Linked DNA regions of Caenorhabditis elegans. The protein of the gene in region 2 purifies or fractionates together with the protein of the main gene of each other region. This does not show direct contact. Each region holds a gene or a part of one and is shown on either strand. Other genes may lie near its edges.

Region 1 (7,836 bases), on a different chromosome or scaffold from region 2:
GCAATATTTTATACTTCCAAAATTCCACCAAAAAACGCACAAGAAACGAGATAATCGACGACTTTGAATCGATTTTCCCAATTCTCATAAGTAGAAGCTCGCCGTGAAAGTGAGCTCAACGATGGAAAGAACTTTGGAATTCCTCTCCAATCAGAAATATCCGAATATGAAGAGAAACTGTCGATATCCTTATCGATTTGTTCGGATGGAATATTATTGTCAGCTTCGGCGATGATTTCCGTGATACTTTTGAAGCCACTGAAAAAAAAAATTTGAAAATTTAGAGTTTTTGACAGGAAAAAAACAGCCTTTTTCTCGGTTTTTCAGGAGAAATTTGAAGAAATTTGTGATTTTTTTTTCATATTTTGTTTTAAAAAATTCCGATTTACTTCTGCATTTTCTGTGGAAATTTAAAAAAATTATTTTTGATTGAGGAAAAATGGAAAAAAAACTGATTTTTCGGTTTTTGAAATGAATTTCAAAAAAAAAAACGGAAAAATCCATGGTTTTTCTTTTTTTTCTAGAAAACGGTGCATATTTATTAAACTTCACAGGAAAAATTCTTTATTTTACTTTTTTTTCTAGAAAATTCCATAAAAGGTTCTGTAAAAAATTATATATTAGTTTTAAATGAAATTAAATGAAAATTATGGGTTTTTCAGTGAAGAAAGCATCGAAATTATTGCAATTTGCAGAGAAATTTCAGTAAAAATTGAGAAAAATATATCTAAATCTGGAGTTTAATTGAAATTTTTGAAATTTGATATTAAATTTTTTTTTTTGAAATTATCGGAAAAAATTAAGTTTTTTATCGAATTTTAAACTGATTTTTTTAGTTTTTTATGTGAAAATTGTGCACGAAATCTGATTTTTCTCACGAAAAAAAAAACTGAAAAATCTATAATTTTCCAACTGAAATTCTCAACCTCAATCCATCATTATTCCGTGTCGGCTGCTGCTGCTGTTGCTGGCTCGTCGAGCCAAAATCCATATCCTCATCTTCATCTGAAGTCGGTGGTGACGGTGTAGTGACAACGCGTTGTTTTCTCGGCATTTGTTAGGGGAAAAGCCTGTAGAAGGGGGAAATTAGTTTTTAAAAAATAATAACAAATCAGTGATATTTCTAAGCGAGCAAGTGAGCACTAGAATAAATTCAATAAAAGAAAAAACAATTAAAAGTTTAAAAATTAAAATATTTACAAAATTCTTCATTTCATTTTAATTTCAAATCATAAAATATTCTTCAGCGGAGGATTGAGAGAGAAATCGGATGGAGTGGGGGAGTTGTTTTGTATATTTCCGCATTCAAACCCCGGAAAATTCCGAAAAAAAAACACAATTTCCAGATTTTTCTAAGTTTTAAACGCGGAATTCTTGATATCATATACATATTATTACATGATGAATGACTCGATAACACATTTAGGATCAGTAGTACATTGATCCGGATCGAATTGTGATTCAAAAACACGAATCTGATTGTCTCGACAACGAACTGCAGCCGGAAGATATCGACAATTATGGAAAATCAGAAATTCCAGCGACATTCGATCTTTGAATTTGTCGGCGATCAATGCGATGCCACCGTATCGGGATCCACTGCAAAAAAAATCAATTTTTCGATTTTTCGAAAAATATATATATAAAGCTTTATTATGTTTTTTCATCAACAGATACAAAATTTTATGAAAAATTTCATTTTTTTCGAACTTTCGATGTTCAATTTTTCAATTATTTAAATATAAATATGCTGCTCTGAATGGAATAATAAATCTACTTACTGTTCCATTTTTTCGTGTATGAATTCTCGAATAATCTCACTGTACATGATACCCTCCTCGTCGTCTCTGAAAGAAACAAAATTGATGCGTTGTTGTTATGGTAACTAGGGTCTCGCAGCGATTTATCTCTTTTTTTTTAGTCGTAAAATCTTTTTTAATATTAAATTTTCTTTTTTTTACAATTTTTAAAGCTATTTGTAAGGGAAATAATTTAAAAATTGTTAATTTATCAATTGTTTGCCGATTTTAAGAGAAAAAAGTTTAGAAACAGTCAAAAATTACATTTTTGTGCTACATTTTCAAGAAAAACGGTAAAAAACTTGGATTTGCAGTTTGTTTCAGATCACAAATATATGAAAATCTCGAATTTTGAGCTATTTTTTGCAGAAAATAGATAGGAAATTGTGGATTTTTGTGCTAATTTTGAGAGAAAATTGCCTTTGTAAAATTGTAATCGCTAAAAACGTCCCAATTTATGCAATTTCTACAGAAAATGGTCCTGAACGCGCAAAATCCCCGAATTTTAAGCAACTTTTTTAAAAAGAAAACTGGTCAGAATTTCCAAAAATTATAGATTTTTGTGCTAATTGTTCGAAAAAAGATTCAAAAATCATCAAAATTGTGGATTTTCATGCTGATTTACATCTAAAACTGCTCAGTTTTAAGTTATTTCTACGGAAAATGATCCAGTGCGCGCAAAATCTCCAAATTTTCAATAATTTCCCAAACTTACAGCACTCTCGTGGCGATACCCCTGCAGAAATCGGCTTTCACAAGTGATTCACCGTGTCCTGTCGAACAAATCGAGATGGTTCGTTCACTGACTTGATCAAATGGTTCTTCGTATTGCCTTCGTTCAGACCATGTTCCACTTCCATATACACAGCTGTGACCAAGCCGTCCCGAGTGTTTTAGCACAATTCCACCGCTTGAAGTACCGGATTCTGAGTTCATTGTCTGCAAAAAAGACATTTTTCGTGGCGAAAATTGGAAAAATACGAAATTTTGATAGAATTCAGGGGGAAAAACTTTTGAAAATCGATTTTTTTTTTGCAAACCAAATTGGCATTTTACTGAAAAGTGGTAATTTTTTATTTGAAAACCGTTTTTTTTTTTCAGAGAAATTTAGACCCAAAACCGGCTAAAATAGAGGAAATTCGAGATTTTTATAGAATTTTGCCAAAATGGAGTTGACAATCTGGTTTTTTAAACTCGTATTTCGATCGAAATAGCTTTTATACGTGTGATTTGCCGGAGAAATGCTAATTTTCAATTTTAAAACCTGTTTGTTCCGGGAAAAATGAAAATTCCACAAGGAAACGTAGAATTTTGATAGAACTTTGGTGGAAAATAGATTTAAAAATGGGATTTTCCACCTTTTTTCTTCAGAAACTCACATTGAAACTGCTTTTTTTTCATAGAAATATAAAGGAAAATGCTATTTTTCGATTAAAAAACTTTTTTTTTGTGGCCAATTCTGGATCGAAAACGCGAAATTTGCATCGAAATTCGGCGAAAATTTTTTTTTAATCGGATTTTTCAGCGTTTTCACAGAATTCAGCCTAAATAGCTTTTTTACGTAAGAATTTAACGGAAAATACGAATTTTTCATTTTGAAAAATCGGACTTTTTGGTCAAAAAGTAGTTAAAAATATATTTTTCGGATTATTCTTGGAGTTTAATAGAAGAAATGCTAATTTTCGACTAAAAAAACGGTTTTTGTGGACAATTAGGCAAAATCTGAGTCAAAAGGGCGGAATTTGCATTGAAATTCGGTTTTTTCTAGCAAAATATTAATGAAAATGCCATTTTTTCGAAAAAGGCTTTTTTTTTCGGGAACTCTGAAATTTCTTGGGATCTGATAGAAGAAATGCGCTAATTTTTCATATTTTGAACACATTTCCCTGAGAAAAGGAACCAATCTCGAATTTTCCTTCATCCTTACATTGGTATTAATTGAAATAGCTCCTACAGTGTCATGTGTATCATATGGATGAAGCATTCGATGTAAATACTTCTCAAAGCTCTCTTTCGCCGCTTTTGATACGAGTTCTTCAGGTGTACACGTTGGAAAATCTGAAAATCCAATGATTTTTCGAGATTTAAAATTCAAAATTCAGAAATTTACCATTTTTAACAGCATATTTCTCTGCTCCACGACCAACAAGAATAAGGGGATGAAGAAGACGTCGCTGCTTCCACCAATTGCTATGTGCAAGGTGACGTGCCACTCGGGACGGATGGAAAACGTTGGAAATCGCGCCGACCGCGCCGAAACTGAATTTGAAAATAATCGGTAAGGGAGAAATGTATGGTTTTTAGGGAAACCTTAAATTTTTGGATGACATATATGATGCTTCACATTCAACTTCTTGATCGATAGTCAAATGTGAGCCGAATCCACAGTTGAACTTTTCTATTCTTTCAAGATCCTGCAAAAAAAATTAAATATATTTCGTGAGAAAACCAAAAAAGAATTCCTCACCGTCAACGCATTCTCAACAGTGCCTGTACCACACGCAAAACGGCAGTCCTCGGCAAGACTTGCGTCGAATTTAGCACACGCACCTGCAAGATTTAAATTTTGCCGCAAAAAATCGATAATTAGTGTGCGCAAACCTCCGTGCACCGCGATTATCTCGCAGTTGCTCATTTTTTGAGGTTTTCTTCGAGTAGAACTCCACTGAATCGATGTTTCAGAAGGATTTTATTATCTCCGGCCACCAGGACGGGAATGTCGTATTTGAATTTCTGAAAATTAGGAATTTAAACTACCTATTTTTAAATTTTCTGTATTTATATTTTTATTAAATGAGAAAATAGAATACAAAACAAAAAAAACGTAGACGTAGAAGAAAGTCTCACTTCAATTAGCTCTGGCGATTCTTGGGCGAGATTTTTCTCGACGACAACAATCCCGGGATGCTTTTTAAGATAGTTTTTGAGTTGTCTGTGAAAATGTACGCACAGCGAGCAGTTTTGCGATGAGAAAAGCACGAGTTCGACGGGTTTGGACGAGGAGAAGGAGCGCTGCAAAGCACGAGGAAATGTGATCATTTGAATTGGCGTCAAAATCACATGGTAAAACTAGGCCGCGCATGACCTGAGCACGAGACACTCTCTCGGCCATTTTCAAGTTGGCGCGCTGTGTCACACACTCCGGTGGAGCGTGTTGTGGCGGAGTGTATGAGAAGTGTGCGAGTGGTTTGCGTTCGGCGCACTCCGCCCACTTTTTCCGTGCCGCACGCGGGTCTTTCGAATTTTATCGATTTTTTAAAAGTGTTTTTTTAGTTTATTTTTGTTTTTGACGAATTTATGAGGGATTTCTTGCGATTTTGGATTTTAAATAAAGAAATAGGTTTAAATATAAAAAATATCTTTAGATAAAGTATTCCTAATCGATGAAACAAGTGGAGTCAAGGAAATCTCTAGTTTTTCCTTCTAAATACTCGAAGCAAGCCAAAATGAACGAATTTTGTGATAAGATTTCTTTTAAATTGTTCAAAAATTGTTATTCTGTTCAAAATCAGGTGTTGGAAATTAATTGATTTTGGCTGAGAAATCGTTATTTGGAGAGTTTGAACAGTAAATTGAACTCTTTTTTTTCTACAGAAATATCTCTGAAATTCGGATGCAAAAACCTTTTTTCTTTTAAGAAGCCTAGTGTTATCCCTATGCATCTCGAAAAACTTCTCAAAAATTCCTGATGTTTGAATTCGAAAAATCGATTTCCGATACTTCCAATATTATTTTCTACGAAATCGTCATTTAAATAGTTAAAATGCAGTATTTCCGTCGTTAAAATATTGTTTTCGGCCAATTTGGAGGAAAATTTTCAATCAACACACTAACCTTTTCTTTGGAAATCTAAAAAAAACTCTAGATTTCCATATTTAGCTCAATGCTCTCCAACCTGCTCCGTACAACTTCTCGTAACCTTTCCACCCCTCCAGTCGTGAAAGTTCTCTCCCTAGATGCTCGTGATACACTAATCACGATGAAAGAGTCTCCACCGATAGTTTATTCCCGTTTCGCGAGGCAATATGATTTGGAAGTCGACTCCGATCAAATCATGGGAAGCTTTCTTAAAAATTATAAACGAATGAGCATCGCATCGCCCTGCTTTGGGTTCAATGGAATTGGAAACAAAAGTTGGTGGATTGAAGTAGTTTCTTCTACGCTTTTGGATGTAGGTGTAATCTGAATTAGGCAAGTCCCCTACTTGATAGTTTCAGTGTGCTCCGGATTCTGAAAAAGGACGGGTTGAAGTGATCGCTGGAGCTTTGTACAATCACTATGCAACTCCTGAGCCGTGGAAACTAGTTGAAAGCGATGTAAATTTTGTGAATTGTTGAAAAAAAAATACTGCAATTTTTCATTTTAGACGCGCCAAACTCTGCAAAAACTTCGCCTGAAAGGAATCATCCTGGTTGTCATCTCCAATTTCGATAGTCGCTTGAAATCTCTACTTTCTCAATTCAATTTACTCGATCTTTTCTCCATGACAGTTCTCTCCGGCGAAATTGGGTACGAAAAGCCCGATGAGAAGATCTTCCAGCTAGTTGTCAACCATTTCGATCTAATTTCTCCCTCGGAAATCTTGCACATTGGAGACAATTTGAAAAATGATTTCCATGGCGCCAAAAATTTCGGCTGTAGAGCTCTATTGTTTGATTCATCTTCCTCTCATAATGTTGAACCGTTTTATTGTATTTCTCGTTTGTCAGATTTGAAGCTTTATTAATTAATTGAATTTAATAAATAGTTTTAATTTTTCAGATAATGGATCTCTTCCGAAAACCGAAAAAGCGCAATGCACCCGTCGTTCGTAAAAAGGAAAGCTCAAGTGATGAGGATCAAGATTCAGAAGTGAAGGATGTGATTCAAAAGCGACGTCGTACGAATCCGATGGTCCAGTCGGTGAGATCTTGGTACTTTAGTGCTCCAAAATTTTGGAAAATCCCAATAAACTTTGAAATTCAGACCAAACAACTAGACGCCTCAACACGACGTGCTGATAATTCATCGGATGATTCTGACGACTCTGACGACAATCAGGATATCGCAGTAGCAACTCACTCGTTCGCCGCTTCAGGAGATGCCGGTCCATCTGGACCACGTGATCAAGGTGCCACTGCAACACTCGAAGTGGACACAGACTATTCACACGATGCCCAGGCTCAATTCGAACGAGTCCAACAGCAACTGAAGGAAGGCGTCGAGAAAGACGGAAAAATTCTGTACAAGGGAAGTGCACTGTATGGAGCCAAAGAGGCGAAGGATACGGCCAAGGGAAACGCTGCAAGTGGTTATAATCGAGTTGGGCCCGTTCGGGCGCCACAATTTCTACGACAAACAGTCCGTTGGGATTTTGCACCGGATATTTGCAAGGATTACAAGGAGACTGGATTCTGTACGTTTGGAGATTCGTGTAAATTTGTGCACGACCGATCGGACTATAAACACGGATGGGAGATTGATGAGGAGTACGAAGCAGGAAAATATGGTGCTGAAGACGATGCGAATTACGAGATTCATGAAGGCGACGATACGTTTCCGGAGGATTGTTTTATTTGCGGAAATCCATTTGTTGATCCGATCGTGACAAAATGCAAGCACTACTTTTGCACCGGTTGTGCGTTGAAATCGTTCCAAAAGTCGTCAAAATGCCCAATATGTCAGCAGAATACTGAGAATATTATGAATACCGCAAAAGGTTTGAAATAGAACGATTAATTCGTGATTTTCGCAAGTTTTGGAAGGTTTTTCGGCGCAGTTTGATACTTACATGTTACGGAGGATACTGCACGTGGACAAGCGTGAATCTTTTTTCACATTTTTTGGACAATAATAAGACATTATAACTAGAAAGAGAGGAGGAGCCTAATTTCGCAACTCTGCGGCACGATTTTTCGACAATTTTCCACTGTTTTTTTTTTTGGTTTTTTTTCTGGTTTTTTTTTCCAAAAAACTTCGATTCTTCCTGTTTTATTTTTTTTTACGAGAAAAAAATCAAATTTAATTCGCATAACATTTCGATTATAGTTCATATTTT
Region 2 (6,979 bases):
TTGCGGGAAATCCAAATTTCAGATTTCAGCAAATTTTTCGGAAAACGTTTAAAATTTGACGAAATTCTAGAATTTACATTCCAAAAATTCGGATTTTTCAGCGTTTTTACTCAAAACCGCGCCAAAATTCTCAAATTTCCATCGAAAAACATGGAATTTTCAGTTTTTCAGTCAATTTTTTGTGGTGGAATTTTCAATAAAAAAGCAGCATTATTACCTGACGTGACAAATCACCACCAGAAGAAGCAAGCCATCCAGATACTCCAAAATCGGCAATTTGAATAGTTCCATCGTCGGCGAGCAGTATGTTGCCGGCTTTAATGTCACGATGAATTTGTCCGTTTAAATGGAAATATTCGAGTCCTTTTAGTACTTCACGGAGTACTGTAGCAATTGATACTTCATCGAGGACACCGAATTGCGCCTGTTCTTTTCCAATTGCCTGAAATTTGAAGATGGACATTTTTGCGCGGGAAACGGGGAGAGCAGCCGACAGTTAACGGGACCGTCAAAAGCGGCCGACACCTCCGGGGTCCTAGGGGTTCCAAAAACAGAAGCAGCCGGCCCCCGAACAGGTTTTCATAAGAAAGCCGCGGACATATTCCGGGTGTGCGATTTTCGCTTAACGGGACCGTGGAAGGGAGCAGCCGACATATCCGGGGCCCTAGGGATCCCCCGGGACCCGGGCTCTAAAAACTGGGCAATGAAGCATCCGACATCTCAGGGGCCCTAGGGATCCCCAATCAGAAGCAGCAGACACCTAATGGGTTTTCAAAAAAGAAGCAGCCGACATTCCACCGGGCACTTGAAATGTTCAATAAAGCAGCCGACGTCCCACGGGTCTCCAAGTGAGAGCTGCCGGCATATTCCGGGTGTGGGGATTTTTTGAGGAAAAATTGTTGTTTTTTTTTGCCAAAAATCAATAAAAAAATGCCTTTCTAGCTTGAAATTATAGGAAATTGTAATTTTTTAGCTCAAAAGTTCAAGAAAAAATAGATTAGCGTTATAAAATGCTTCAAAAACTGCATTTTTCGACTTAAAAATTCAGAAAAATTCGATTTTTAGCTTAATAATCGTCAAAAAACCGATTTTTCGGCTCAAAATTGTTCCTATTTTCGCAATTTTTGTTGACTAAAAATTAGTTAAAAACAGGCCCTCCCGGGTACTCAGAAATGTGTACTGAAGCAGCCGACATCTCCTGGGCACTCAAAACGGGAGCAGCGGCGGACGTCTCACGAGTTTCGATAAAATTGCAGCCGACACCCAAGGGTGCCCAAGTTGGAGCAGCCGACGCCTCGCTGGTTTCCCTAACAAAAAATGCAGCGCCGACGAATTTGCGGGTCCCGGAAAAACGCGCGTGCGTGTTACTGCGGAATAAAAAAGCAGCCGACATCTCCCGGGACCCGGATTTTTCTGGGGGTTTTTCAGGCCAAAACTTGACCTCCTCACCTTAACTTTGCGTTTCAAAATGTCAAGCATTGAACCACAATTGAGTAGACGCATAACAACCCATAGTTCTTCTTGTGCAATAAATGATGTATAATAGCTAACAACATTCGGATGATTACACTGGGACATTGCCTGAATCTCATGACTTAGCTCATCAACCGATGTTTGACACTTTTCCAGATTTATGCATTTGATGGCGACTTTCTCGTTTCGTGGAAGGCAGTAGGCCTGCAAAAAAATTGTGGGAATTTTAAAGGTAGAGCCGACCGAAATTTGAGACTTTTGCTTTTTTAGACCCAAATTTGGTCCAGATCTCCGAATTTTGTAATGAGACATTCTGAAAATTTCTCAAAAAAAAGTTATGGCGGTTCAAAGTTTGGCAAAATAAAGCCCATATTCAGCTAAAATCAATATTTTTTCCAACTTCTCAGTGTCACAATGCCTGGAACCTAATTCTTATTTAATTATCACTTTTTAATAAATATTGTGGTTTTTGAGTGGGCGTTTATTCGTTGATTTAGGTACATTTATGGTCTTTGGGGTACAAAATTTAACTTTTATTTGTGCCCCACTGACATATGTACTTAAATCAACGAATAAACGCCCACTCAAAAACCACAATATTTATTAAAAAGTGATGAATAAATAAAAATTAGGTTCCAGGTATTGTGGCACTGAGAAGTTGGAAAAAATTTTGATTTTAGCTAAAAATGAGCTTTATTCGGCCGAACCGCCATAACTTTTTTTTTGAGAAATTTTCAGAACGTCTCATTACAAAATTCGGTAGTTTTGGACCAATTTTAATAAAACATTAATAAAACAAAAGTCTCGATACTCACCACCTTAAAGTAAAATTAGGTGAAAATCAACATTTTCACCACTTTTCTCTTGAAAAAAACGAGATTTTTCGGAAAAATTTAAATTTCCCGCCGAAATTTGGGGTTTTCTAGCGATTTTTCCGGGTTTTTCCAAAGACAAATTAAAATTTTGGCTGAAAAATTGAATTTTTCAGATTCAAATTCGTTTTTCTGAAGGTGTCCAGTTGAAAAATGTGGAATTTTTACGCAAAAATTCAATTTTTGATGGATTTTTCGTTATTTTGCTCATTTTTGAGAGGAAAATCACGGCTCACTTCGTGGTGAGACCCGTCGAAAATTTTTTTTCGGGGGAAATTTAAATTTTCTGAGAAAAAACAATTTTTTGGCGGGAAATTCAAATTTTTTGAGAGAAAAAAAAATTTTTTGACGGGAAATTTAAATTTTCTGAGAAAAAAAAATTTTTTTGGCGGGAAATTTAAATTTTCTGAGAAAAAAAAATTTTTGGCGAGAAATTTAAATTTTCTGAGAAAAAAAAAATTTTCGGCGGGAGATTCAAATTTTCTGAGAAAAAAAAATTTTTCGGCGGGAAATTCAAATTTTTTGGCGGGAAATTTTAATTTTTTTAGAAAAAAAAATTTTTTTTGACGGTTAGAAATTGTAATTTTCGCCATTTCGCCACTTTTCCGGAGATTTTCAGTACAAAAAGTGGATTTTTTTTTGCGTTTTTTTACCCGAATTTTTGTCTAAAAATTCGGCTTTTTTTGACATAGAAATTGTAATTTTCAGTCAAAAAAGAAGCAGCATACAGTAAAAACGGTAGCAGTTGCTCCAACTCCAATCGACTCATCCAACTTATAAGCCGACGGTTCTGTTGGCCATCGATCGGCCGGATTAAGCTGTGCAACAAGTGCAGCTGATGCTGCTGCAGCTGCCGCAATCGGTGATGATACTTGAGGTGGTGGTGGTGGTGGTGGTTGGGATGGTTGTGATCCTGCAACAACAAAAAAATTAGGGGTGAAATTCATTTTTTGGGCCTAAAAATTGCGCGATTTTTGAATTTTCTCACCTTTTTTGTAATTTTTTTTTTGGTTTTTTCAAAAAACCATTTTGGTTTTTAAGGTAAAAATTGAAAATTTTTACATGGAACATTCAATGTTGTATGTACTTAAAAATGTAATTTTTAAGCAGAAAATTCGATTTTTTTTCAGCTCAAAAATTAAATTTCGTTGAAAAATTCGACTTTTTACACATTTAAAAAGGTAATTTTTACCGGGAAAAACGTTTTTTTTTTAAACAAAAAAAAATGTATAAAAATCGAATTTTTAAACTAAATTAAAACATTTTTGGAGTAAAAATAAATTTCAAATGAAGAAATAGAGTTTATCTGCCTAAAAAATCATATTTCCTCGACAAAAATTGAAAATTTTAGAGTAAAAATTGAATTTTGTACTCAAAAATGACATTTTTAAACAGATTTCGTTGAAAAATTCGACTTTTCACAGGAAAAACTCTTTTTTTCTTCTTGAAAAATCAATTTTTCCGATTAAAAAAATTTGTTTTTTTTTCACAAAAATCGGAAATGTAGATTTTATAAATTTAATTGATTTTAATTGAAAATATTAGGGTTTTCCAAGTGAAAATTGGTTTTTTTTATGTGAAAAATCAAATTTTTCAGCTAAATTAAATTTTTAGAGTGAAAATCGAATTTTTCCGCCAAAAAATTATATTTCCATGAAGAAATTGTACATTTTAGAGCAAAAAAAAATCGAATTTTTTATTAGAAAAATTAAATTTGATCGTAAAAATTCGTTTTTTTTTCTCAAAAATGTAATTTTTTAAGGAGAAAAATTGATTTTTCACTACAAAACTTCAATTCCGTTGAAAAATTCAATTTCCTACAAAAAAAATTTATTTATACCCAAAAAACCAATTTTTCAAAGCAAAAAATACATTTTGTACCGGAAAATTTCAATTTTATTGTAAAAATTAATTATTTTCCTCACAAAATACCAACTTTAGAAGGAGAAAGATGTAATTTTTACTTTAAAAATTCATTTTTAACTTAAAAAAATTATTTTCGATTTTTTAAATTTAAATAAAAATTAAATTTTACTGGACCTGCAAAAATAATCGGGAAACCCCAATTTTTATTGAAATTTCTACTTTTTCTTCGGAAAAATTATTAGATTTCAAGCTAGAAATTGCCATTTTTCACATTTTTCGACCGCAAAAAAAATCCAAAAAAGCACCATGAAGTGTCGACGTTGATCCGATGCTCGATAATGTATCAGTGTTAAATGTTCCAGTTGTTGTCTGTGTTGTCGAGTATTCTGATGTTATTGTTGAAGCATTTGCAGCTGAATGAGCAGCTGCTGCAGAAGCTGCTGATGATGTAGTTGTAGTATTCGTGTTTCCTGCCAGATTCGAAGAGCTCATTTTTTATATTTTTGATTTATTATATATTAATTTATATTGTTGATGATGATGATGATGTACACAGGACAACACACGTATGAGACTCTGAAATTTTTTAATACAATATTAATAAATTAATTGATATCATTAATCAGTAATATCATTAAGGATATAGTAGATTTGAAAAAAAAAAAAAAAAACGGCTGGAAACTAACTTTTTGTAATCACAGTCTAATTTTGGGTCCGATAGTTCACTGCAACTTTTTCCTCACGAGGGACGAGGAAAAGTGGTTTCTAGGCCATGGCCGAGGGGCCGACAAGTCGGCCATTTATCTTGCTTTGTTTTCCGCCTGTTTTCTTTCGTTTTTCATCGATTTTTTTCGTTTTTTCTTAATAAAACTGATAAATAAATATTTTTGCAGATGCTAAAACAATTTCCAAGTGAAAAAATTATGTATTCAGTGGGCAAGCAGCGGTGAAAGAGGGCAATGTAATATGATGGATTACGGGAATACAAAACCTAAACTTTTTCTGAAACATGATACATATGATGCTTAGATGCTGAAATTACCTGATTTTCATAACGAGACCGCTGAAAAAGTTTTGAGGTTTTCAAAATTCAACTTTTTGTGCGAAAATCTCGACTTTTTCACCAAAAAAGTTGAATTTTGGAAACCTCAAAACTTTTTCAGCAGACTCGTTATGAAAATCAGGTAGTCTCAGCATTTAAGCAGCATATGTATCATGTTTCAGAAAAAGTTTAGGTTTTGTATTCCCGTAATCCATCATTTTACATTGACCACTTTCACCGCTGCTTGCCCACTGAATACATAATTTTTTTACTTGGAAATTGTTTTAGCATCTGCAAAAATATTTATTTATCAGTTTTATTAAGAAAAAACGAAAAAATCGATGAAAAACGAAAGAAAACAGGCGGAAAACAAAGCAAGATAAATGGCCGCTGAAACTTGTCGGCCCCTCGGCCATGGCCTAGAAACCACTTTTCCTCGTCCCTCGTGAGGAAAAAGTTGCAGTGTCAGTTGAAGAGGAAAAAAAAAGGAAGTTTTCACTCAAATATGACTCAAAAATCTGGATTTTTGAGCTTAAAAATTCAATTTCCAAAGAAATTTCCAAGTTATATATACGTAAATGTTTTTTTCGCTAAACAAAATTTTCAGCTCCGTTGAACATTTTGGTTTAAGGCCGAACAATATTTAAAGATTTTTCAGGCTTGAAATCATCCAATTTTTGAGCTAAAAAACGTGTTGCTTTTAGCTCGGGAAATTGAGATTTTATAGCTTAAAAATTATTTTTGAGATTTTAATAATTACACGACGGTGTTTTTCTGGATTTTTGCTCCAAATAGTAAAAATTACGGATATCTTAAGTTTCAATTGAAATTTTTGCGCGCTAAAAGTTCATTTTCAGCCAATTTCTCTCTAGAATTTCATTTCAAAAAAACCTTCAAATTGGGGAAAATCGTATTTTTACAAGAGTCTTTTTAGTCCGAAAACTGGATTTTCTAAATAGTTTATTTACCAAAAAAAATCCAGCTTTTCGCTGTTTTTTTTTTTTGTAAAAATACTTCATTTTGAAGACTTTCGATCGATTTTCTTCATTTTTAGGGGGAATTTCTACCAGTAATTTCCAGCGAAATTTTACATGGAAAAAAGCTCCAAATTTCAAATTTTCAGGAGCAGGAAAAAAATCATAAAAAAATCAAAGATATTTTCAGCCGGTACACATTGGAAACCGCTCTTTTCGTCTGAAAACACACACACAGAAATAAATAAATACAATATAGAATTGATTTAATCGCCTTAAAAATGCCACTTTTTCAGTGAACAAATTATAAATTTAGATGAGAAGGCAGGGAAATTCTATTCCAACAGCGGAAAAATTGGGGAAAAAAATCAATAAATTTGTCACAAATTGGGGGCAAAATATGCAATTTTAAACAATTTTGTGCTGAAAATGAGGTTTTCAGCTCAAAAAGAGCAATTTTAAGGTGAAAATATGGATTTTTAGGGGGAAAAACGCAATAAATTATCACAATTTGGGGTGGAAAACTGGGAGAAACAGGGGGCAAAAATACGAGTTTTTCGGCAAATAATATAGTAAAATTCGATTTTTTTAGCAGCGAGAAACCAAATTTAGGGCTAAAAATTCAATTTTTAAGTGAAAACCGATTTTTTAAACTCAAAATTCAAATTTCTGGCTTAAAATCAGCTTTTTGAGTAGGGAAAATCGATTTCTGAGCTCTGAAAATGAAATTTTGGAGCCAAAAATGCAATTTT
Region 3 (9,816 bases), on a different chromosome or scaffold from region 2:
TTTACTCCATAAGACGTTTTTTTGATACTCAAGTAGGCACAAGGTAGACGCGATCCTGAATGAAAGGTTTCCTAAAGCTTGTGACTAGTAAAATTCTTACAAACATTTCAAAAAATTGGTCAAATATTTTTCAGACAAAAATTAAGTTTTATTCCCTGTTTCACAAAGTCTATGAAAACTATCGCACTATGATCCTCATTCACTTTTTCAAAGTAGTCATTTTTGATATCGTTCTTTGATATTTTGAGCATCTGCCACTAACAATTAGAAATTAGAAAAAGAGAGAGTAGAGATGGAGAGAAAAAGTGAATTGTGAAACGGGATATGGGTGTGAAAGTTTGTTAGGTTCACTAACTGCAACATTCGTCTGACTTTTTGTTTTTTTAGACTCCCATACCTTCTCTTTGTTTACTGAAAAATTATTCACTGGGAGTATTAAAAATATAGATGCAATTGGAAACAGTCATCGATTTTACTTTTTATTAGCTTTTTCAATTGTTTTCTTACGTTGTCAGAGTGATTGTTTGCACTTCTGCAAAATATGCCTATTTAATTTACTGTTTCTTGAGAAATGTATACAGTCATTATTTCTAGCGATACTCACAATTTTATTGCATTTCCTTGTCTAGCTTCTAGTTTTAATAAATTGATTGCATAAATATTGGATATACATAAAAAGTAAATAATACAAAATCTGACGACTTGACACAATAAGACTTCGTGAAACAGTTAAAATTTGATAAATTCTAAGGAACCCCTATGATAGATAAACAACATCATGTTTTATATGCGTTTTGATACACTCAAAATGCTAAAACTGCTGGGTGCCCTAATTTTTCAGGCCTAAATTTTGAAATCTGTGCAAACACGCCACACAGTTTCATCATATTGAGTGTATGTTCCTAGAAAACTTTCAATGAGTTTATTGATTCCGGAAAATGAGAATTGCCCAAGCAAAATCTACCCCGCAAACACAAAACAAATTATTTTAAAAATTCGGAAGACTAGGCGATAGGCAGGCAGGCTCGCCTAGCCCAAATTTTACTACATAAAGTACGCCTCCGCATTTCAAATGTGGAAATCGTAACAGTTAATAGCACTATTAACGTATTTTAAGAGATTACCGTTTCACAACCATTTGAAATGATTCTACAAAACTCGTTACATACTGCATTAGTGTTTAAAACAGTGAGAACTACAGTTAGAAACAATGTATCCACAAGTGACAGTCCACTTTCAAAATATTAACGTTTCACAACTATTATGAATAGTTTTTTAAAATAGTTTTTTAATCGGTACGTATTATAGTTATTTTGATCAACTAGTTCATTCTTGATTATTCTTTCCTCTTTTTTTAAATCCAATTTAACCGAAAAAAGCACAAAAAAAATGAGGAGAGCCAGTCAACTACTGCCAAAGCAAGCATTTTTAAAGTCTAAATTAAAATTTCAACAAATCAAGTAAACAAGAAAAATTGGGTTAGGCACGCAAAATTATCCACGGGACTATCAAACACCATGCTTCACCCAAATATGTAGAAATTAGGCGTTAGGCAGGTAGGCAATGGTGTTCTTTCCTAACATGAAGTTTAATTTGACTAATTGAAGTACACATAATCAACCTTCAAAAAACTTTTCAAAAAGTTCAAAAATTTTCAAAAACAATTAAAAACCCTCCAAAACGTGATTTCAGATGAACTTCAACTTGTACTTTTTCTAAACAATTCTTCAACTTTTCCGTAACGTGCCTTTTCTTTTTTCAGCTTATTTTGCTTATTCTTTTCTTCTCTCTTTATCCAATTCAACCGAAATAAGCACAAAAAATCGAGGAAAGCAAGTCATCTCCTCTCAGGCAAAAATTGAATATCGAGTTTCATTTTCTCTCTCTCTCTCTTTCTTTTTCTTTTTTTTCTAGTCTGAAGATGTCTTCAGAAGAGGTCGACTTTTCCAATTTTGTCTATCGTTTTCTCTTTCTTTTCCTGGCATCAAGGAGCCCGCGAGCCTTTAGAGAAGAGGGCTCTTTACACACAAAATTGGATAAAATTGAAAAAGAAGAGGAAAAGTGTGAAACTGGAAATGTAACACTTCTTCCTTCCCTCCAGTTCTTTTCTCTCCTTTTCTTTCCTTCACATTTTCTTTTGTCCCACGGCTTCTTGCTTCTCGAACCGATCTCGACGTCGTCTCGCGTCGTTTACGGGTAATTTGAGCCCACACGTCGTCACCCGTTTGGAGCTCTGCGCCAAGGAAACCATCAAAATTGGAGTGGGAAAGAACCTTATGTTTTTGCAAAACGACAAAAAGTTTAAAGTTGGCTGCTGTTTCTAAAAACGTTTTTTTTTGAAACAAGTGCACTTTTGCAGTTTTTTGTGACGTGCAAGCCTTCTAGACTTCACTTTTGGCTTGAGACCACTATTCAGCTATATAGGTTATGTATTCTGAGAAAAAAACATAGTTTTTTTTGTTGTTAGGTCAGAGTTACCGTAGTTGATGTATTGCAAATGTTTGCTTAAAACAAATTATTGATTTGAAAATCTTGATTTTGAAATTGAAAATTTTCCTGTGATTTTTAAGTGAAACCGTAAGTTATATATTTTTTGGCATAGCAAACTAAAATTTCCGTTTCACAGTCATTTGAAATGATTCTACAAATTTCAACATATACTACATATGGCTCCATACTTTAAAATTCGTAATTTCTAAAAATATTTCTGAATTATCTTGAACTCGAAAACTTAGTCATCAGCCCTTTGTGTCTCCAATTTCTTTCCAGAATGTAACATTTCTGAAACCCCGGTTTTCCAATGTACCCGCATATCTCACGTCGACCGACCTACCTATGCGCCTGTATTTTTATGATATGTTATTATCCCAAAACACATACAGACTTACCCTTTTTTATTTCGATTAATTTATTTCAAACTTCAAACGAAAGCTCGATTATTTAATTTTCAAGCAACTGCTGTTGTAGACCACTTGAAATATAAGTTTTCAAAAAAATCAAACTTTCAAATTCTTCAATATATTTCCAATTCCCATAAATGATTTCTTTTCTTTTCATTAATTCGCTTCAACTTTCAAAATTATTTTCATAACTCCTGCTTTACAGCGTACCCAGCAAAATAGAAAAAATTTTCCTGAAAACGACGTCATCAGGAAAAGTGTTCAGAATCCGTCGTCGTTGTCTTCTTCAGAATGGCTTCGGTGGCGGCGTGGCTGCCGTTCGCGAGAGCCGCCGCTATCGGATGGGTTCCCATTTCGAGACAGCCCATGCCACAGGCCCCAGTTGCAATACAGGTTAGGTTTGGTGGGAATAATTTTCTAAATTTAAATATAAAGTAGTCCAAATTTGATCTGAAAAAATTGCGCCAAATATTTATTTCCCGATGTTTTTTTACACTGTGATATTTCTAAAAATTTTTGTGTGACGCCACACATCTTCATTTTTAATGAGAGACACTTAGGCAGCATTCTGTGTTTCTATTCGGTCATTTATAGACACTATAAAACAGTGGAAATTTCCACGTTCTCACAATTAGGAATTCTTGTTCGCGGAAAAGGTTCAAACATCAAAAAATACGGAATTCTTTCATAAATTCTTGTTCACACACGTGTTAGGTGGTCGATGTCTTTTGAAAATTTGGAAATTTGATACGAGTGTCATATGCAATGAGAGATTAGATCCTCTTTTTAGTTCCAGGATCCGTAGTGAGAGGGAAACTAAATATACATTTTGAACTTTGGATATGCAAAATTTTTACTGTTTCATTTATTTGGCAGATTCCTCTTTTTCATGAACTAATTTTTTGTGTTGCCTGTAGATCTCTATATGTTCACAAGCTCTCAATGTGATATTTCAGGCCAAAGACCTCGCGGTTGATCATGTCTCTGACGAAAAACTAGCAATCAACATATCAGGACGAAGGTTCGAAACGTGGAAGAACACGTTGGAAAAGTTCCCAGAGACTCTATTGGGGTCAAATGAAAAAGAGTTCTTTTATGATGAAGACACTGGGGAATACTTTTTCGATAGGGATCCGGACATATTCCGACACATTCTCACATTTTATAGAACGGGAAAATTGCATGTGAGTTGTTTGTTTTTGTTGTTTGAGCCAGTTTGAGACAAAAAATTGCAAGCATTAAAAATTAATGTTTTTTGAAACAGTTTTTTTAAAAATAAACTCTCTTCAACTTTCTAAACTTCCGCTGAAAATGTTCTTAAAATGTAGAATCATGCTTTGACATTTTTTCTATAAAAAATCAAATTTTAACCCATTCACATAGGCGCTAATGTCCCCGTCTACCAACAAAGCAGCATAGACCTGTCTCGAGCCTACAGACAAACCGCAGGCGGGCAGCAGGCAGGCGTTAAAATTAAAAATATCTGCCTACAAACTTACGCATTTGTTTTGCAATTTTTTTTTGGAAATATACAGAATTCAATTGATTGTAAAATAGATGCAATTTTTATTCAGAAAAATATTAAATCTTTTGAGCAATGCTTTTTGAGAATTTGGAGCATCGCCGGAGAATATTTTAAATTAATTATGCCTAATGGTGCTTAAATGGCCTAATAATGTAGTAAATCCTTTATAAATTCAATTTTTTTTAAAATTTTATTCAAAAGTGACGATTCCTCATTTTTTATTTATTTTAATAATGCGTTAATAAGTTTTACTCAAACACTGTATGAGTATGAACTTGTAAGACTGCTAGATATTTCTCAAAGGAAACGGAGTAATATTTTTCGAAAATAAATTTTAATTTCAAAATAAATTTTATTTTGTATTATAATTTTCAATATTATTTTTTAATAAAAAAAATCTTTGAAAAATTTAAGATTTTCGTTTGAGTATGTGGTGACTTGTTGAAATCTATTAAAATGCGCCACTTTCCATTTTTCCCAGAAATCCATATTTTCAGTATCCCCGTCATGAATGTCTTGTTGCATACGACGAAGAGCTCAGTTTCTTTGGAATAATGCCTGATTTGATATCAGATTGTTGCTATGAAGACTATAAAGATAAAAAACGAGAAAATCAAGAAAGATTACAAGAAGAACGTGTAGAAAATGCGGATATATCAACATTAAAATTGTCTCTTAAAGAGAAAATGTGGGCGGCATTCGAGAATCCGCACACAACATCAATAGCACTTGTATTTTATTATGTCATTGGATTTTTTATTGCTGTATCAGTGATGTGTAATATAGTGGAAACAATACCTTGTGGGTATGAGGATAATGTGTCTGTGACGTGTGGAGAAGCCTATGAAGAGCAATTCTTTGTTATCGATACAGCGTGTGTTATCATTTTTACGATTGAGTACTTTTTACGGTTGATTTCTGCGCCGGACCGAATCAAATTTATGAGGTACGTTTCTTTTAATATCAATATGTAAACTTCTCACACTAATAAGTTAAATATTCACTGATTTTATCAAACTCATTTGAAACAGCAATAAAATTTTGAATTTTCTAATTATCCAATTTTGACGCTTTTTGATTACCTATCGGCTTTAGAGACAATTTAATCAACCAATTATTTAATACAAAAATAAATTAGCAAAACGCAATTAGGAATAATAATCAAATAAAAACGAATTACCCAATGCTATGGGAAAGTTCGCGAAATTCAAGATTTGAGCTAAAATAATCGTAATTCTTTTCAAAATCTTGTGCCGCCAAAAAAAAATTGGAAAATTTTTTGAGAAGTCTCATTACAAAATTCAACCATTTCAGTATGACCCTCTAGCCCGTCTTTAATGCATTTTTATGATTTCAAAAGTTTTGTTCAAAATTATCAGTTCAAAAATATAGAGATGTTTCTCATAACAATCATGAAACTGTAAAATAATTAAGGACACATTTGTCAAAATTGGATAACATGTTATTTATTCGTCCTTATTTTTTTAACCATTTAAATGGTTTTCTTTTTTCAGGTCAATAATGAGTGTAATCGATGTGATTGCCATAATGCCTTACTACGTTAGTTTGGTACTAACTGACAATAAGGATGTATCCGGCTTGTTTGTCACTTTAAGAGTTTTCGTAAGTTTTTTCTTTTGTTAATCCTTAAATTGAATATCCAAATATTTTTTCGAACATTCTGATAAAAATCATTAATTCTTTGATCAAATCCTTCTAAAATTTACAGCGTGTCTTCCGAATATTCAAATTCTCACGACATTCCCAAGGTCTTCGAATTCTGGGTTACACTCTTAAATCGTGTGCAAGTGAACTTGGATTCCTTGTATTTTCACTGGCAATGGCAATTATCATATTTGCCACTATTATGTATTATGCGGAGAAAAAGGTCGACGCGACGAGATTTACCTCGATTCCGTCAGCTTTCTGGTATACAATTGTGACTGTGAGTTTTTCTTTGTAAAATTAAGAAACGGGGTTGAAATTTTGATTTTTACGTTAAATACTCTCCATAAAACCTTCAACGTTTTGCAAATACCTTATCCCAAATGCACTAGGAAAATGTAAATTTTAAAGTTAATATTTGCATTGGAAAAATTAAAAATTAAAATATTTTTTTTTTAATTATACAAATCACTGAAGACTAAAGGTGAAACCTATTCATACAACACAGTCATTGTTTTTCATAATAAAAAATTAATTTTTCTTTCAGCTAACAACTCTTGGATACGGAGACATGGTTCCATCAACAATAATGGGTAAAATAGTTGGAGGAGTATGCTCACTGTCTGGAGTGTTGGTTATTGCTCTTCCAGTTCCAGTTATTGTCAGCAATTTCTCTCGAATTTATCATCAAAATCAGAGAGCTGACAAGAGAAAAGCACAGAAGGTATGGTTTTTCGTTCAGTTGTAAAACCTTTTTAAACACTTAGTGATTTTTTTGCAAATTTGTTGGATTAAATTTAATCAATTTTCAGAAAGCCCGTCTTGCTAGAATTCGGATCGTTAAAAACGCGTCTGGACTAGCATTATTCAATAAGAAGAGAGCTCATGAAGCTCGGATGCTAGCATTTGAACAGGGTAAGTTGGTTTTTTTTTTCATTAGAACATTTCGTATTGCCGGCTTAAGTTAGTTATTATTGAGTTGTCACAAAAATATTTAACTTTGGAAATATAGAAAAGTATTCCATTTTGTTTTTCGGTCTCTTGGCATTTCTGTTGGCTCAAAAAAAGCAAATATAAAACATTAAAATTAAAAATTAATAAAAACAGTTCGTGATTCCGCTTGCTCAAGAGGGCACAAATTTTGAATCCGGTATAAAAAACAGATTCTGTGGTTTTTTTTTATTCCGTTTTTTTATATTTAATGTTTTAGGTTTTCGGTTACTTAATTTATTAGCAATGTGAAACATTAAAAAAAAATTATGTGTACAAAATTCTAGATTATAATTGAGATAACTCTAAAAAGTGCATTTTTGCAGGTCATCTCTCTTTCGATGCTCTCCGAGACGAAGATATCTTCGAAATCCAACATCATCATCTTCTTCAGTGTCTAGAAAAAGCGACGGAACGTGAATTTGTTGAATCAGAAGTGATGTTTGAAGGTGGAAGAAATACTCCTCCGCCCAGTGAAACAGCTTCATTGAAAGGAAAAACAAAGCGTAAAAGGCGATTGTGAGTTTTTGATTTTCAATCCTTTGAAGATTTATTAGTCTCTGGATTTCAGGGTAAAAAAATAAGAAAAAATTTTATACTATTCATCAATAAAATAAATTATCATCAAAAAAATTCACTGATGCTTTCTTTTCGTTAATGCATTTAAAATGGAAAATAATCATGAATGAAAATGAAAACTGTAGAAAATATTGTTGCGTTTTAAAATCCAAAATTCAAAAATATGCCTCTGCAACCCTGGCTAAGATGTCTGCTTGAATTCCCACCAAACATAGAACAAGGATATTAGGCAGCGTTGAAATACCATGTTTTCAAAAATTGTAGTTTCAATTATTTCTTGAATTTTTTTGAGTTTCTTCTTTGTCAGCAATATTTTGAGTATTTTAAATTAGAACCCCATTCGAAAAGTGAGTGTACCACGAAATGGTCTCGTTGGTGCAACTTTAGAGGGAATTCAAATAGCAAAATTGACAAAAGTGGAAAAACCTTAAATTCTTGATGTTGGATTTACTTCTTATTTTTGTCATTTTTCCTTGGTGATATTTTTGATTTTTGGATCACAATTTTGAGTTAAAACAACAAATCTCCTGAAATTTATTTTTTTTAGATGCTGTGTTTCAAAAGAAAATGAAGAAATGGAAGAGTTGGATCGAGAGACTCGTGTAACATTCAATCAGAATATGGATCAGGTATAAACTAACACCAGTTATTTGTTGAAAATTATATTATTAATTTCAGATTTGTGAATTACCAAAACCTGATGAAATGGAACTCAATCATCGAAATAATGACAAAATTTGCGTATCGCAACTGTAATCTACTTCTTTATTTTATTTTTTTAAAATGATTTCTAAAAATCATTTTCTATAGAAAATTTCTCTCATTGCTCTACCGGTTCCGTCTTTCTAGAAGCTAGTTGTTCTTTTACAAAAGTTTTCTGAAATCATCCCTCCCAACTATTCGGTTTCCCCAATCTCTCATCAACGATGCAATTTTGTTTTTTTCTGTAATTTTTACTTTTTCAAGTTAGAAACAAATATATTTCCATTGAACCCGTTTCCCGAAAAACTTCATATCGCTCTTTTTCTTTTTCAGTTCGAGGTGACTTTTCTCTAAATTTTCCCCGCTACTAGGAGCCTCTCCGATGATCTGCCCATTGGTGGCAGATGTCTTTCATTTTTTTTTTGATTTTTCAGATGGAAATATAAAATTGAAGTAAAATTAACTTTTTATGTGCAGTTTTTTTTTTTTCAATTTTCCAGGTCTGTCGATAAAGTTTTATTTATTTTCTAATTTTAGAAAACCACAAAGGGAATTACTTTTTTTTAACTTAGTGAGCTGGTTCATTTGTATCAGCTCATTGCTGAAAAAATGTAACTGTACAACATTCCGCTTCATTCCAATTGCATTTTAAACTACAAAAAACTTTATAAACAGATACATAAAATAATGCAATTATCAACAGTTTATCGTCGGGTTCCGTCCTCAAAGAAGATTCCTCCATCGATAGCACAATACTTTGGACAGATTCCCTTCTCTCCAACACTTCCTGCTTGTCCGGCTTGTCCAGCTGGTCCTGGATTTCCATCAGATCCTGGTTGTCCTGGTTGTCCAGATGGCCCCTTTGGTCCTGGTTGACCTGGTTGACCATTTTGTCCTGGAGTTCCTGGTTGTCCAGGTGGTCCTTGTGGTCCAGCCTCTCCTGGTGCACCTGGTTCTCCTGGAACAAGTGGCTCAGATGGAGCATCTTGACCTGGGTTCCCATCTTGCCCTGGTGCTCCTGGTTGTCCATTGACTCCTGGTGGTCCCTTTGGTCCTGGTTGACCTGGTTGTCCATCTTGTCCTGGACCTCCTGGCTGTCCATCAAGTCCAGCATCTCCAGCTGGTCCTGGTGGTCCTTGAACTCCTGGTGGTCCTTGTGGACACGGTTTGCATGGTGGTGGGGTAATTGGGTCACATGGAGCTTGTGGTGGACGTCCTGGATTTCCAGGAAGTCCAGCTACTCCAGGCTTTCCTGGACGACCTGGCTTTCCTGGGGTACCGACGGGTCCAGCTGGACCTGGAAGACAGCATCCAGAGCAGGATCCTCCAGCGGCCCCAGCAGATCCAGCGGCACCAGAATCTCCGTAAGAAGCTTGACGGGCGGTACGGTTGGAACGGATCGAGGAGACCTCGTTGAGAATGTCTTTAGCAGAACCCTTACAGTACCGGATCTCG
Region 4 (6,244 bases), on a different chromosome or scaffold from region 2:
AAGTAAGTTACTATGACGTGTCTGACGGTGGGAGTTGTAGCCGAGTCTGGAATACAGAAAAAAATATTAAGGATATTAGCAAGTTTTGCTCACCTTGAAACTTTTAAAATAAAAGTTTTTTTTTGCTCAAGCATTTATTCGACCTGTCGAGAATAATTAAAACCAGCAAAGTTTAGTAGAAATTAACATAAAATCAATAGTAGAGAAAAAAGGAGGGCGCACATTCCGTAGGCACCCAAAGGAGATGGAATGAGGAGAGCCGCGGAGCCAGCTCAGCGATAGAGCTCAGTTGCTATGGTGATCATAATCTTCTTGAGCATTATCTTGGTGAGCAAAAATATTAAAAAATAGCTACAGGCGCATGGTAACCATAGTGATAATCTGATAATCCTTCCGTCTCAGCGATTTTGAGTCAAATCTCTTGGAATCTTTACCCATGATATCACAAGCGGGTTTTTCAATCGCTCAGGGGTAAGCGGCAAATAATTTTTCCGGCCAAATTGGCCAAATGGCATATTGCCGGAATTGAAAACTTTTGGCAAATAGGCAAATCGGCAAATTGCTGCACTTGAAAATTTCCGGCAAATCGGCAAATCGGCAAATTGCCGGAATTTAAAACTAACTTACCAGTTTGCCGAATTTGCCGGAAAAACGGCAACTGTGGAACATTTTTTGCCAAATTGTGGTCTTGCACATTTTTTTGGAAGTTTCAGAATTTCAATTTTAATCGGTAAAATTGTACGCATCCTATGAATCTTCTTATATCTATTTTGAAATTGCCAAAATTGAAAATTTCCGGCAAATTGACGCAGTTGAAAATGTCTTCAAATCGGCAAACCGGAAAATTGCCGGAATTAAAAAATACCGATGAATTGGCAAACCAGCAAAATGCCGAAATTGATAATTTTCGGCAAATCGACAAACCGGCAAATTGCTGAAATTAAAAATTTCCGGCAATCGGCAAATTGCCAAAATTGAAAATCTCCAGCAAATTGCCGCATTTGAAAATTTCCGGCAAATCAGCAAACCGGCAAATTTGCCGATTTGCCGAATTTGTAGAAAAAAAACTCTGAAAAAGATTGGCCCATGTCTGTTCGCTTTTGAAGCGCAACAAAATCATCAATCACATTTTTATTTATGTACAAACATTTTCAATTAAATATCCTATAAAACCGTCGTTGGCATCAATCAGAGCAGCTAGCAGGTTGTCTGAAAAAAAAAACTTTTATATAAAAATTCATATTTCTCTCGTTAGCTTACCTCCTAGCCCTGCAAAATTCTTCAAACTCGCGAGACAAATTGTTGTCAATTCTAGAAACTTTCGTGACTTCTGAAAAATCCAATTTTTCCAATCAATATTTTTTCAAAGACCTACGTATGACAAGCCTATCCATCTCTGGAAAAATCAGTGCTGCGTCAAAAACTTCAGGCTCAACATCAGCAAATTCAGTCCAGAGCTCATTCTCGCTGCTCACTTCCAGCGCAGAATTCACCGCGAGCAAATCTGCATTGCTCATTTTCATAAACAGCTTCAGCTCCGCACTTTTTCGCTTTTGCCGGTTCAAGGATTCCGATAGCTCTGCGATGAGCAGGTCGTTCGTGAAAAAGTTAGTTTCCGCGATGTTCTGAAGCGTCGCAAGAGCATCGTTTTCGAGAGCATCCAAGGTTTCTCGTATTGAAGCGTAGAAGGCTATTATCGAAACCTTTTTCTCTTGAAATACCTCCCCATCGTCGAGATTTGTTAGCTGAGCTGTTCCGATCTTTTCGATATTCGCATCAATTTTACTTGCCAGGTCTTCGGATCTTGAAAGCTTCCCGCTCAGAAACTGTCTCAACTTTGCCGCTTCTGATTGTAGTAGGCCTCGATTGTGTCCGGCGTGAGCTCCAAACTCTTCGCAGGTACGGCACATGAGCTTATCGCTAGATGAGCAGGTGGGCTCCTGGAAAGAATGCTAGTTTCTCAGGCAAGAAGAGGTGCATTTGGCTCTAGCTTCTGGCCCAAGTTTGGCGCAAAAAATAATAACTTGTTTCAGACGTTGAGCAAAAGTTGGGCAAAACTTGGATTCAAACTCCACCAAAGTTTAAAAAAAGGTTCAACCAACTCTGCCAAACTTCTACATAAGTTTGAAACGAAATAAGAGAAGTTTGGGCCAAACCTTTGGTGCAGCCTGAATCCGAGTTTTGCCAAAGTTTTGCCCAAGTTTAGCAAACTTCTGATCCAAGCTAATATTTTTTGGGCAAAACTTGGCCAAGAATTTATAGCCAAATGCCGAGCTTGACCACAAAAGTTGAGCAAAATCTAGGCCAAGACTTTGGCCTGAACTAGGCTCCCACGTACCATTATTTTTTGGCTATTAACCTCGCACTCTCAGAAACCGGCGAGTTGTCGGCTGCTAATAGTAAGTTTTTTAAAAAATTTTTTACAGTTGACATTTTGGGGCCTATCAAAACCTATAAAGAACTCACAATGCACACAAATTCCGCAAAATTGTACTGGTGAGAAGCGCATTTTGGCGGTGAATCAATGGGATCTTTCTGAAAAATTTTATATTTGTATATAAATATATATATGTATATATAAATATATATATGTATATATATATATATATATATTTATATGTATAACTTTATTTCTAGAAAAAAAAACCTCTTCAGTTCTAGTCTTAGCGTGTTCAACTGCCTGTAACAATGCAAAATTCTTCTGCAAATCCTTCACTGTACTGACATTAGTTGCTTCCCGGCAGAATGGACATAAAATCATAGAGTTTTGGAGCAATTTTTCTGCACAACCATGGCAAATTGTGTGGCCACATCCTGAATTTTTATTTTTTAATTTTAGGAAAGGTAGCAAAAGCTTACTCAAAATCCTAGGAATATTTTCATCGGTGGCACTTGAGAAATCTTCGTTGCAAATTTCACACTCAATAAATGACATTTCGGAACTGTACGGAGGGTTGGAAAAATAAACGAATGGTCTTGGGAGTTCTCCCGCTGACACTGCGATAAGACGATAACAATTTGGTGACCAAGAATACACGGAAACCGGTAAATATTTTTTGCTGACTCATATCAGTTTAGATACACCATTTTCAACACTATTGCTAATTCTATGTGGTCAGTTACTACGGATTTCGTAATAGTTTTTCGTAAAATAAAACGTTTTCAGAGCCTGGCGCCTGCCTGAAACCTGCCGAGCACCTATAGCACTGTTTGTACGGGAGCGGGCTTATTTTAGAAAAATCGAAAAATCGAAAATTTTCGTTTTTTTTTTTGATTTTTCGAAATTTTTTTCTCTTATCAATAGAAAAAAAATTAGATAAAAATCGTATTTTATGATTAATTTTTAGATCATTTTTTTTTTCGATTTTTGGATTTTCCGGAAAATCGAAAAAACGTAAATTTTTGTTTTCCGATTTTCAAGTTTTCGAGACTTAGGCTTAGGCTTATGCTTAGGCTTTGATTTAGGCTTAGCCTTTGGCTTAGGATGAAGCTTAGGCTTAGACTTAAGCTTAAATGTAGGCTAGGCGGAGAAAAAAGAGATAAAAAATAAATCCTAGAAAATATGAGAACTCAGAAAAATAAAATACCAAAAAATTAGACATTTCAAAAATTTATATTGCCCGAAAAGGGCCAAAAAAATCAGGATTGGAGAGTTGAATTTTCGGTTGTTTATCGGTATTTGTACAAAGTAAAAAATGATTGAAAACTTTAAAACCAAAAAACTGCCTTGTTTGGAACATTCAAAGCCACAGGGTTATATTCTGAAATTCATGTACCTATAATACAAATGCTAAATTATCATTAAAACCTACATCTGGCTCCAGAGAGCTTGACATTGAAGCATTTGCCACATCTACAAAACTTCCTGACATTGATCTACCAACTTCCTTCCAAATCCACTTACCCACAGCTAACCTGTTCACTTCTGGAAAATTTAATGCTACATCAAACTGAATAGGCTCAACTTCTGTATTTTCCGAGTCATCCCAGAGCTGAATTTCTGAATTTAGAGCTAACAAATCCGCGTTGCTCATTCCCAGAAACGACTTTAATTTCTCGTTTTTCAATTTCTGGGTTTCCAGGGATTCCGACAATTCTTCTAGTAGTAATTTATTGCTAGCTGAATTGGATTCTGCAATTTCGCGTAGTTTTTGATTTGCAAGGGCTTCCTGGGCATCTAAGGTCTCTCGTATTGAGGTATAGTAGACGGATATCTGAAAATGTTCTGGAATTGTATTTCGTCCCCGTTTCAAAAAAAAATCACTAACCAAATCTTTTTTATCTTGAAACACCTTCCCATCTACTTGATTTGTTTGCTGGGCGCTGAAATTTCAGCGAGCTAAAATTGTGATCTACCGCTTTTTAAACTAACCTGTCAACCTCTTCAATGTTCTTGTCAATTTGAACAATCTGATCTTCGGACTTTAAAAGCTTATCTTTGAGCAACGTTCTCAATTTCAAAGCTTCCGTCTGTAGGAGGCCCTTCGAGTGTCCGGCGTGAACTCCAAACTCCTCGCAAGTTCGGCACATTAGCTTTTCGTCGGAGGAGCAGTTGGGGTCCTGGAAGGAGAATTAAGGAAGGTTCTCGAAGATTCCAGAATTTTTCTTAAATTTCCCAGAAGGTTCTAGATCATTCTAGAGTTTTTTTGAAAATTGCTAGAAGGTTCTAGAACATTCCAAAATTTTCTAAAATTTTCCAGAATGATCTAGAGCATTACAGAATTTTCTCGAATTTTCCAGAAGGTTCTAGAACATTCCAGAATTTTCTAAAATTTTCCAGAAGGTTCTAGAACATTCCAGAATTTTCTCGAATTTTCCAGAAGGTTCTAGAATATTCCAGAATTTTCTTGTATTTTCCAGAAGGTTCTAGACCATTCGGGAATTTTTTTTAATTGCTAGAAGTTTCTAAAACATTCCAGAATTTTCTCAAAATTTACAGAAGGTTCTAGACCATTCTAGAATTTTTTGAAATTTGCTAGAAGGTTCTAGAACATTCCAGAATTTTTTATAATTTTTTCAGAAGGTTCGAGAACATTCCAGAATTTTTTTGGAATTTTTAAGAAGGATCTAGAACATTCCGGAGATTTTTTTCTAGAAGTTTCCAGGTTTTTTTTTGAATTTTCTTAGATGTTCTAGAACATTCGGGAATTTTTTTTTAATTGCTAGAAGTTTCTAAAACATTCGGGAATTTTTTTAATTGCTAGAAGTTTCTAAAACATTCCAGAATTTTCCCAAATTTTCTAGAATGTTCTAAAACATTCCAGAATTTTTTCAAACCTTCCAGAAGGTTCTAGATCATTTCAGAGTTTTTTTGAATTTTCCAGAATATTCTAAAACATTTCAGAATTTTCCCGAATTATCCAGACAGTTCTAGTACATTCCAGAATTTTCTTGAATTTTCCAGAAAGTTCTAGACCATTCGGGAATTTTTTTTAATTGCTAGAAGTTTCTAAAACATTCCAGAATTTTTTTCAAATTTTCCAGATAAAAACTCACAAGACAAACGAACTCCGCCATATTATATTTATGGGTCGCGCATTTTGGCGGTACATCTGCTTCATCTTCCTGAAAAACTTTCTCATTAATTAAATTATCTAGTATATCGTACCTCTTCTACACGTTCAGTTTTCGTGTGTTCAATTATTTGCAGCAGTGCAAAATTCTTTTGCAGATCCTTTACCGCACTGACACTTGTTGTTTCCCGGCAGAATGGACAAGAAATCGCCGAGTTTTTTAGTAGTTTTGTCGCACAGCACTGACAAACCGAGTGGCCACATTCTGAATCATTTACCTATTTTTAGATTCAAGCTTCGTATTCGTATTTGACAGAAAAAAATATACTCACTCAAAATTCTTGGAACCTGATCTTCATTGACACTTGAGAACTCCAGATTGCAAATTTCACATTCGATAACTTTTGACATTTCTGGAGACTGGAGAATTTCGAGAAGAATCGGGGAAAAAACTAGAGAAACGACCGGGTGGCTGACTCCTTGTTGACACAAATTTCCAGTTGATAACGATTTTTACGGGCTCGTGAGAGTTACGCAAAAACTGATTGTAGTAGGTGGGCATGGTTTTGCCTAGGAAGTAGGCATAGGCGAGTAGGCGCCTGCCTGTCTACATATAGGTACCTTTGGCAAATGACATTTCAAGTTGTGTAGTAGGTATCGGTTTTGCAACTTATAATTGAGTTTGAAATGTAATTGAGTTTGTAATTGAGTTTGAATGTGTTATCTATTTT

Evidence for each region.
Region 1: the proteins of gck-3 (region 2) and tasp-1 fractionate together in Caenorhabditis elegans (co-fractionation; one large-scale study listed by BioGRID). This does not show direct contact.
Region 3: the proteins of gck-3 (region 2) and shl-1 fractionate together in Caenorhabditis elegans (co-fractionation; one large-scale study listed by BioGRID). This does not show direct contact.
Region 4: the proteins of gck-3 (region 2) and F43C11.8 fractionate together in Caenorhabditis elegans (co-fractionation; one large-scale study listed by BioGRID). This does not show direct contact.

Annotation. Positions count from the first base shown.
Region 1 is NC_003281.10:10,756,365-10,764,200, reverse strand, and holds tasp-1 (TASPase homolog), read right to left. Parts: upstream 4,817-7,836; 5' UTR 4,647-4,816; intron 4,533-4,646; 5' UTR 4,435-4,532; coding exon 4,401-4,434; intron 4,350-4,400; coding exon 4,267-4,349; intron 4,214-4,266; coding exon 4,110-4,213; intron 4,059-4,109; coding exon 3,910-4,058; intron 3,858-3,909; coding exon 3,727-3,857; intron 2,739-3,726; coding exon 2,515-2,738; intron 1,848-2,514; coding exon 1,782-1,847; intron 1,600-1,781; coding exon 1,395-1,599; 3' UTR 1,195-1,394; downstream 1-1,194. Other genes in the region: dpy-28 (Condensin complex subunit 1), read right to left, coding at 41-258, 927-1,054; K01G5.10 (Haloacid dehalogenase-like hydrolase domain-containing protein 3), read left to right, coding at 5,683-5,970, 6,017-6,115, 6,166-6,525; rnf-113 (putative E3 ubiquitin-protein ligase rnf113), read left to right, coding at 6,564-6,701, 6,765-7,497.
Region 2 is NC_003283.11:17,962,061-17,969,039, forward strand, and holds the start of gck-3 (Germinal center kinase 3), read right to left. Parts: upstream 4,704-6,979; coding exon 4,517-4,703; intron 3,259-4,516; coding exon 3,074-3,258; intron 1,678-3,073; coding exon 1,450-1,677; intron 443-1,449; coding exon 218-442; intron 1-217. UniProt on the Caenorhabditis elegans protein: Plays a role in osmotic stress responses by regulating ion homeostasis and by controlling cell volume via the phosphorylation-mediated inhibition of the chloride channel clh-3.
Region 3 is NC_003282.8:6,377,358-6,387,173, reverse strand, and holds shl-1 (BTB domain-containing protein), read left to right. Parts: upstream 1-3,103; 5' UTR 3,104-3,191; coding exon 3,192-3,293; intron 3,294-3,856; coding exon 3,857-4,084; intron 4,085-4,922; coding exon 4,923-5,371; intron 5,372-5,388; exon of another isoform or gene 5,389-5,409; intron 5,410-5,779; exon of another isoform or gene 5,780-5,800; intron 5,801-5,939; coding exon 5,940-6,048; intron 6,049-6,154; coding exon 6,155-6,370; intron 6,371-6,637; coding exon 6,638-6,814; intron 6,815-6,902; coding exon 6,903-7,005; intron 7,006-7,270; exon of another isoform or gene 7,271-7,291; intron 7,292-7,406; coding exon 7,407-7,599; intron 7,600-8,206; coding exon 8,207-8,288; intron 8,289-8,337; coding exon 8,338-8,415; 3' UTR 8,416-8,889; downstream 8,890-9,816. Other genes in the region: bli-6 (Nematode cuticle collagen N-terminal domain-containing protein), read right to left, coding at 9,066-9,816.
Region 4 is NC_003280.10:2,329,211-2,335,454, reverse strand, and holds F43C11.8 (RING-type domain-containing protein), read right to left. Parts: upstream 2,936-6,244; coding exon 2,860-2,935; intron 2,815-2,859; coding exon 2,648-2,814; intron 2,536-2,647; coding exon 2,467-2,535; intron 1,941-2,466; coding exon 1,376-1,940; intron 1,331-1,375; coding exon 1,261-1,330; intron 1,210-1,260; coding exon 1,185-1,209; 3' UTR 1,117-1,184; downstream 1-1,116. Other genes in the region: ZK1240.1 (RING-type domain-containing protein), read right to left, coding at 3,741-3,761, 3,813-3,853, 3,905-4,214, 4,269-4,323, 4,373-4,560, 5,497-5,565, 5,609-5,778, 5,846-5,924.